Drosophila melanogaster: one gene and its partner. The protein of the gene in region 1 interacts with the protein of each later gene in a pairwise test. Each region holds a gene or a part of one and is shown in the gene's direction. Other genes may lie near its edges.

What was found.
Region 2: the proteins of l(2)37Bb (region 1) and Hmx interact in a two-hybrid assay, tested with the Drosophila melanogaster proteins (one large-scale study listed by BioGRID).

The regions. Positions count from the first base shown.
Region 1 is NT_033779.5:19,049,963-19,053,716, reverse strand, and holds the start of l(2)37Bb (lethal (2) 37Bb), read left to right. Parts: upstream 1-2,104; 5' UTR 2,105-2,218; coding exon 2,219-2,620; intron 2,621-2,682; coding exon 2,683-3,754. Other genes in the region: Rpn3 (regulatory particle non-ATPase 3), read right to left, coding at 118-1,438, 1,500-1,663. UniProt on the Drosophila melanogaster protein: Involved in the assembly of the mitochondrial membrane respiratory chain NADH dehydrogenase (Complex I).
Region 2 is NT_033777.3:17,557,281-17,561,034, forward strand, and holds the start of Hmx (H6-like-homeobox), read left to right. Parts: upstream 1-1,649; 5' UTR 1,650-2,083; coding exon 2,084-2,913; intron 2,914-3,754. UniProt on the Drosophila melanogaster protein: Transcription factor involved in specification of neuronal cell types.

The DNA.
Region 1 (3,754 bases):
TTTTTGATTTCCAATACCTAATTAAAAAAGTTCCGAAATTATTGTAACTTATTTAATTGCGGATTATATTTCTATAAAAATGAATGCAAGCACAAATTAATTTGCAGAATCAGCCGCTTAGAAACCATCCTCATCATCCTCGGCCATCTCCTTGGCCAGCTCAAGGTCCTGCTGCTCCCGCTCGCGTCTCTCCTCGGCGCTCTCCAAATCCTTGCCGTAGGACTTTGGGGGATAGCGCATGGCCTTAACGCTCTGGTTGTGCAGGTTCAGGCAGAACGAGATGCGCTCGTGAAAGGCCAGCTGCGGTTCCCGGGTGCTGTAGATGTCCGTACTTTCCTTGCTGCGCATGAAATTCTGGGCTGGGTCCAACGTAGCCTCAATCACGCCGTCCCGTATAGCCTTCGATACAATAAACTCGGCATCCTCCGCGGAGTCTAGCATTAGCCGCTTGGCAATGTCTTGCGGCGAGATGCGTGAGTACGATAGTCCGATGGAGCGGATTGCCGTCTTGATCACATTGTGGCGCAGCCGGATAATCAGGGTGAATGTGTGGTCCAGTTGGAACTTGGGTCCGTATTGGGATACCACGTCGCCGAAGCGCTTCAAGTTGCCCAGACGCACGGCCTGCGTGAGCTGGAAGTAGGCACCAAGAGATTGGCGAAGACCGGCTTGCCGGAACACCACACGCTCCGGGATGTTGCCCAAAAGCAGCTCCACAACGATAATTAGCTTTTGAACCGTCTGACGAAAGCCGATGGCAGCGTGCTGCGGCGACTTACGCAGGGCCTGGACCAGATGCTTGTGGGCATCGCTGTACTCCAGCTTAGCGGCCTTAATCCGACCTAGATAGTACAGGAAACGCGCCCATTCATTGTTGCTGGCCGATTCCGGGTAGACGGATTTCTTTACCAGCTTGTCGGCTTGGTCGTACAAAGCATAGTGCAAGTAGTTGCGGAGCAAACAGTTAATAAGCACCGCCTGGCCTTCAAAATCATTACGCAGCGTAGCGGTGCGCAGACGAGCGTGCAGGAACGAGCGTATGCCTTCCAGTGAGTTTTTTAGCTCCGCCACTCTTGAAAAATAGAAGTAGGACTTGGCACCAATCAGATCAAGGGTGCGTCGGTTTTGGATGGAGATTTTGGCCATTAGGGCGTCGGCGCTAATTCCGGCCCGCTTTAAATCACTGGCGTCGATGAGCTTGACCAGCAGGAGCAGGTAGAAGTAGGCATCGACCTCGGCGATTGGAGCCTTGGTGGCAACTTGTTTTTTGGGAACATCGGGCAGCTCGGTGGCGTCTTTCTCCACAGCGGGCATCAAAGCCACGGCCGCCTCACGATCTGCACCAGCGGGGTAAATACTCTGTGCAAGATTCCGGAAGACGACGCCGTTCAGCTTGCGACGAGTGTTGGGCAAATTGCGAAGGACGCGCAGGATGAAGCTGTTGGCGGAAATGAGCCATAATAAGGAAGGGACAAGATTTTAATTCTTGCACTACTCACCGCGACTCTTTCGAGGCTACCCCCTTCTCAATCTGACGAATCTGCTCGCGGATCTCCTGCACGGCGGCCACATCTTGGTTCTTCTTCTCGTCAGCCAGCGTCTCCGCCGTTGGATCCACCTCCATCTCCACGTCGTTAGCACCGATGTCCGTTGCGTTGGTCATTTTGTAATGGAACTCTCAATTTACTGGGGTCACAAATATAGCCGACTTTTCTTTTGTTTTTCTCAATCCCAATCAAAAATGCCTAGTAATGTCGCTTCTTCTTCTTATTCGTTTTCGGCTACAGGCAGTGCTGGTAAATTTAGTTGGTTAACAGAGCTGTTAAGCCGTTACGTTTCAATTTATCGATACGTTTTACGGTACACTGAGCGAACTTTCAGTCTCATATGTTATAGGAATTTATTTTTAATGTTTTACAGTAAATGTATCTATTGCTTTAATTTGGGTTAGGAATTTCTTAAGTTACGCACTCAGTAAAAGCGTATTTTTATTTAAATTGCAATAAAACATTACCACAATTCCGTTAAGCCTTTTCTTAAGTTACGCACTCAGTAAAAGCGTATTTTTATTTAAATTGCAATAAAACATTACCACAATTCCGTTAAGCCTTTTCGATATCGATACTCCGATAACATCGCACGTTATTACTATTACAAAATAACACAAAATAAAAAATTAATACGGAATATGAATTAAATTAAAATTAAAGAGAATAAAATGTTGCGGTACAGACAAGTGGTGGGTCTCCTTCAGCGCCGTAATTTCTCGGCCGGAGCAACGAGCAATGGAAGTGGATCTTCCGGGGGCGACAAATCCGGCGAAGACCTGCACCCCATACGACGAACACTCCGTTTGCTCGGGAACGATATGCGCAAAGTTAAGGAGTTCTTTGTACCAAAGGAACCGGAGACCGAGAAAGTTCCCATTCCGACACAGAGCCAGTTTCACTTTTCAGGGGAGCGCGACAAGAGCAAGGAAGCCACTGTGCCGGATGACTTCCAGACCCATTGCGATGTGCTCATCATTGGCGGCGGTGGAGTGGGCAGCTCCATCGCCTATTGGCTGAAGGAGAAGGCCCGCGACGGTCTTAACGTTGTGGTGGTCGAGAAGGATGACACGGTAGTAAAATGATGTGTACCAGTCTACCCCGAATATTTAATTTGCCTTCCACATATTTCTAGTATGCCCAGTCAGCCACGCGTGTTTCGGTGGGCGGTCTTTGTCAGCAATTCTCCCTGCCCGAAAACATCCAAATGTCACTATTTGCCGCAGACTTCCTGCGAAGCGCAAGAAAACACTTTGGCGAGGAAGTGCCTCTCCAGTTTACGCCCCATGGCCATCTGATGCTCGCTGGCGAGGAGCACGCGGAAAGCCTGAAGCGCTCCTCTCAGCTACAAAACGAACTGGGTGCCCGAAATGAACTTCTCACTGCAGATCGACTGACTGCCAGATTCCCCTGGCTAAACACCAAGGGCATCGCTTTGGGCTGTCTTGGTCTGGAAAAAGAGGGCTGGTTTAATCCGTTGGCACTTCTGAGCAATTTCCGACGGTCAGCCAGTGGCTACGGCGCCCATTTTATCAGTGGCCAGGTGGTCGACTTCGAGTTCAAATCCCAAACGGACATTTCTGTTGTCACAGATCTTGGTTCCAACGAGGGTGCCTACACGGGCTTGGAAAAAGCGGTCATCCAACTGCCCGATGGTACGCGACGCACTTGCAAGTTCGCCCTGTGTGTAATAAGCGCCGGTGCTAGTTCCGAACAAATCGCGCGATTAGCAAGGATAGGCGTGGGTCCAGGAATACTTCGGGTTCCGCTGCCCATCAACGCACGCAAGCGATACATGTACGCCATCAACTCGCAGGCCCAAAGTGCACCCGGAATGAATATGCCCATGACAATAGATCCGTCGGGCATCTTTATTCGCAGAGATGGCCTGGGCGGCAACTATATTTGCGTGCAAGATTCGACGGAAGAGTATAATAGCGCGATGATTGATCCGCAATATTTCGCCCAGCACATCAGACCCCATTTGTATAATAGAATTCCCGTTCTTGGAGAAGCCCAAGTGGTGGATAGCTGGGCGGGCTGCTATGATCATAACGTATACGACGAGAACGGCATTTTAGGAGCTCACCCGTACTACAACAATCTGTACCTAGCCACCGGTTTTAGCGGACACGGAGTACAGCAATCTCTGGCCGTGGGCCGAGCCATATCCGAGCTGATCATGGATGGTCAGTTCAGAACCATCG
Region 2 (3,754 bases), on another chromosome or scaffold:
GGCTCCGTCAACACACACACACACACACATGCACAGCTCCTCCAAGGGGAAATGGGAGGTGGTGGGTGGCAGATGGGGGTGCTGGGCGGGTGCAAGGGTGGCGCCTTGCCCTCAGCACGTGGAGACGCACTTTGGCAAAAGCAATCTTCTAAACAGGATAAATGTAATTGCGCATGAATTTCTACGCATATTTCGGCGTCGCTGTCTGAGCTGCAAATGTTTGTTACCCATTTGTTTGGTTGTGTTTTTTATGCTCGCTTTTCCCGTCGCTGAAAAGCGTTCTCCGACATTTCGAGGAGCTGTCACCCCATTGGCCCTCCACTGGCCACGCCCCCAAAGAGAGTGCTCTCTCCGGTCTCGCCGTCTCTCTCTTTCGACGGGTAATTGACTCGCATAATGTTTGTTTTGTTTTGAGCAAATCGTTTGCAACACTCTTTGAATGCCTCGTGGTTGTCTCATAAAAAGCGAAAGCATTTAAAAATTCAATTTGCCCTCTCTCTCATTCTCTCTCTCTCTAACTTTTTCTTGCTCTCACCCGCTCTTTTTCTGCAAAGTTTGCAGAGCTCCTTCGCAAAAATGGCCGCCTGTTCGCTTTTTGGGGGAGGTTTTCTCTTTGGGGAACGGAACGCTGTGGAATGAAACATGCTATAAGGTAGAAAGCTCAGAGATTCCAAATAAAAGAAGAAACGGGAATGCATTACAATGACATGAACGATACTAAATATAACTTAATACGTTGGGAAATTGCTTACATATTTTTAATTATTTAAATATAATTGTTGAAAATCTTTCACTTAATTTCTTAAGGATACCTTCTATCCTCGTATTTTTGATAATATCGTTTTTGATTAACGTTGTTCTTCACCATTTCGTTATCAAACATAATAAATACATTTGATATTTTATACATTTGATAACACCCACAAAACCTCTTTTACTTTTCTTTGCATAATTTATAAGTTGCTTGTTTATTTCTTTCGATATTTTAGCAATTCAATGATTTATCTATATCACCGAACCCCATTTGTTGAAACTTTCACCGCTCAATCTGCTAACCGCAAGGTTGCAATCGACTGGTGCATTTTCGGCACACACTTTTCTGGTCGAAAAAGTTTGCATCTGGCTGGCTGGGAAATTTCAATGGCGCCACAGAGCAACACTTGACCCCTGTTAGGTGGCAATTGATTGATTTTATATTGGCATTTCAATAGACACCAGCCGAGCGAAGCGATTCGAGTCGAGCCGAGTGCGCCCCCACTTTAGACGCGTTCCAAATGCCAAGTGTTTCCCATTCGGGGGGTAGGAAAACCAAAGCGCACTCCACCAGCACCGCAGAGAAAAAATAGTAAAGGAGGAAAATGCGAAAAGTGTCTGTCGATGCGGTTGCAGTGCAATTGTCGAAATAAACGAAAAGAAATTCCGAACTGCAAATGGAATGAAAAAGAGCGGCAGAAGGGGTGGGCCACCAGGCGGTGAAAGAGAGGGACAGCGAGAGCGATAGAGAGAGAGTGGGACACACCCTCCCAGGAGGGGTAGCAAATACGCAAGTGTGTGTGTGAGTGCGGAAAACCATTTAGCGCAAAGACCAAAAGAATTTGCAGGGCTGCCAGCCAACCACCTCAGTCTCAGTTTCAGTTCCACGCTCTCCGGACACGAGACCGGGGGTTAAAAATCCAGAGACTGAAACAATAAAAACACTAAACGATCGCTTTGCCACACACAAACACAAGCACACACACACACGCAGACACACACAAGCACTCGCATACATACAGAGACAGAAAGGACGAAGGACTCAGAACACAGAACTCAGGACTGCGTCTGTTAACAGCCGCATTTAAATTCAAATGCGAAACGTTGATCAAACGGTGCAGACGTGTTTCTCCCAACGGTAGCGCTCGGCGTTTTCCCTTAACGAGTTTTTCGTGGCACGACTGAAGTGTACAAGGTTTGGAAAATTCTTTATTTTCCTAACAAATATATATAAAACAAAAAAAAAAAAACACACACACAAGTGCAAGTTGAAGAACAAAAGTGCTGAATTAAACGTTTAAACTGCAAATCTAAGCAAAAATCTCAAGCTATGTCTTCCTCCGAGGCCGAAGTTGACATCAGTGTGGTGTCCAGTCCGGAGCCGAGTCCTTTGGGCGCCGCTGCCCGCGACAGTCCGCTGCTGGCCCGCTCGCCGGCCCGTTCCGCCGACGGCAGTTCGCCCCCGGCCACGCCTACCCATCGCTCCAATACGCCCAACACGGCCGCCGGCACGCCCACAACGTCCGCCTCGGGCGGCAATCACTTCCATCACAGTCCCAGCGGAGGCGCTGTGCCGCCGGCGGTGTTGCACCATCATCTGCAGCACCATCTGAGCAGCCTGGGCAGCCATCCGGTGGCGCTGCATCACGCGCTCCACACCTTTGGCCACTTGCATCCCGCCCACGGGGCCACACATCCCGCCCTGCTGCAGCACGCACTCACGCCCACCGGCCAGCAGCAGCAGCAACAGTTGCAGGTGCAGCAGCAACACCAGCAGTCGCATGTCGAGCGCCTTAGTCCGCCAATGAAGAGTCCGGAGCGGAATGGCGGCGATGAGGTGCAAGGACACAGTCTGAACAACAACAACAGTAAGGCCCTCAATCACAACAACACTTGCGCCTCGGCGGCCGCAGCGGCGGCAGCAGCAGCGGTGGCAGCGGCCAACCTGAGCAACAACAGCAACGACAGCAACGGGAGCAGCGGGGGCGGCGGCGGCAAGAGCACCACCGGCTCCAACGGATTCACCAGCTTCTCCATCTCCAGCATCCTGAGTCGCAGTGAGCCGGCCAAGAAGAACGGCGCCGCCGGACTTATCACTCCGATCCCGCAGTTGCCGCAACCAGGAGCCGGCGGTCCACAGGATGCGGCCATGTTGTCCAGGTAATTAAAAAACATTCCAGACTTGCTCTAGTCAAAAATAGCCCTCCCATTTCAAATGTGATTAATCTTGTAAATATGAAGTCGCCAAATTTAAAAATCTTAGTGTCAACATTTTACTTCAATTCATTTTAACAATTTAATCTGCAAAAATTTAGTCCATCCATCTGTCATATATAATTAGTTACTTCTGACGATATTCAGCTATTCCGCCTAATTTTGATCCGCAAGATATTTTAAAAAAATACAAACTCGAACTAAAATTTCATTCAAATTTTAACCCTATAATTACTGAAATTAAATGAGTATAATTTCATATGCCCAAGGATTTCCCATTGAATACCTTTTTTTGTAATAATAAAAATCACTCGTCTTAAGTACCATACCCATTTATTGCTCAGTGTAGGCGACCCAGATTAGGACGTTCGCCGGCGAACTGAAACCAAAAAGTCAAGCCTTGCCTCAATGAGCCCAAAACCCAAAGAGGCTGCCATTCCACTTGTTCGCCCTCGGGTTGGGCCAATTTTGTATAATCGTCCTAGGGGAAGACAAGGCAAGGTGACACAAATCTCTTCGCAGGAAGTGCACAAAGAGGAGAAATGGGATGGAGACGGACTGAGATGGTAGCCGGGAGATGGTCGATAAGACCGAAAATTGTTGGGCAAACGTTACACGAGACATTAAGTGGGTGAAGATGCAAATGGCTAAAGTACCATGCCATTGTGCTCCGAGAATCTAACGATTCCAAATTCCAGATGCCAGACAGATAAAGCAAATCCAATGGAACCGTTTTTAGTTGCACTGGACGCTAGCTGACCTCGAATATATGCAGAAAAGGTCTAAA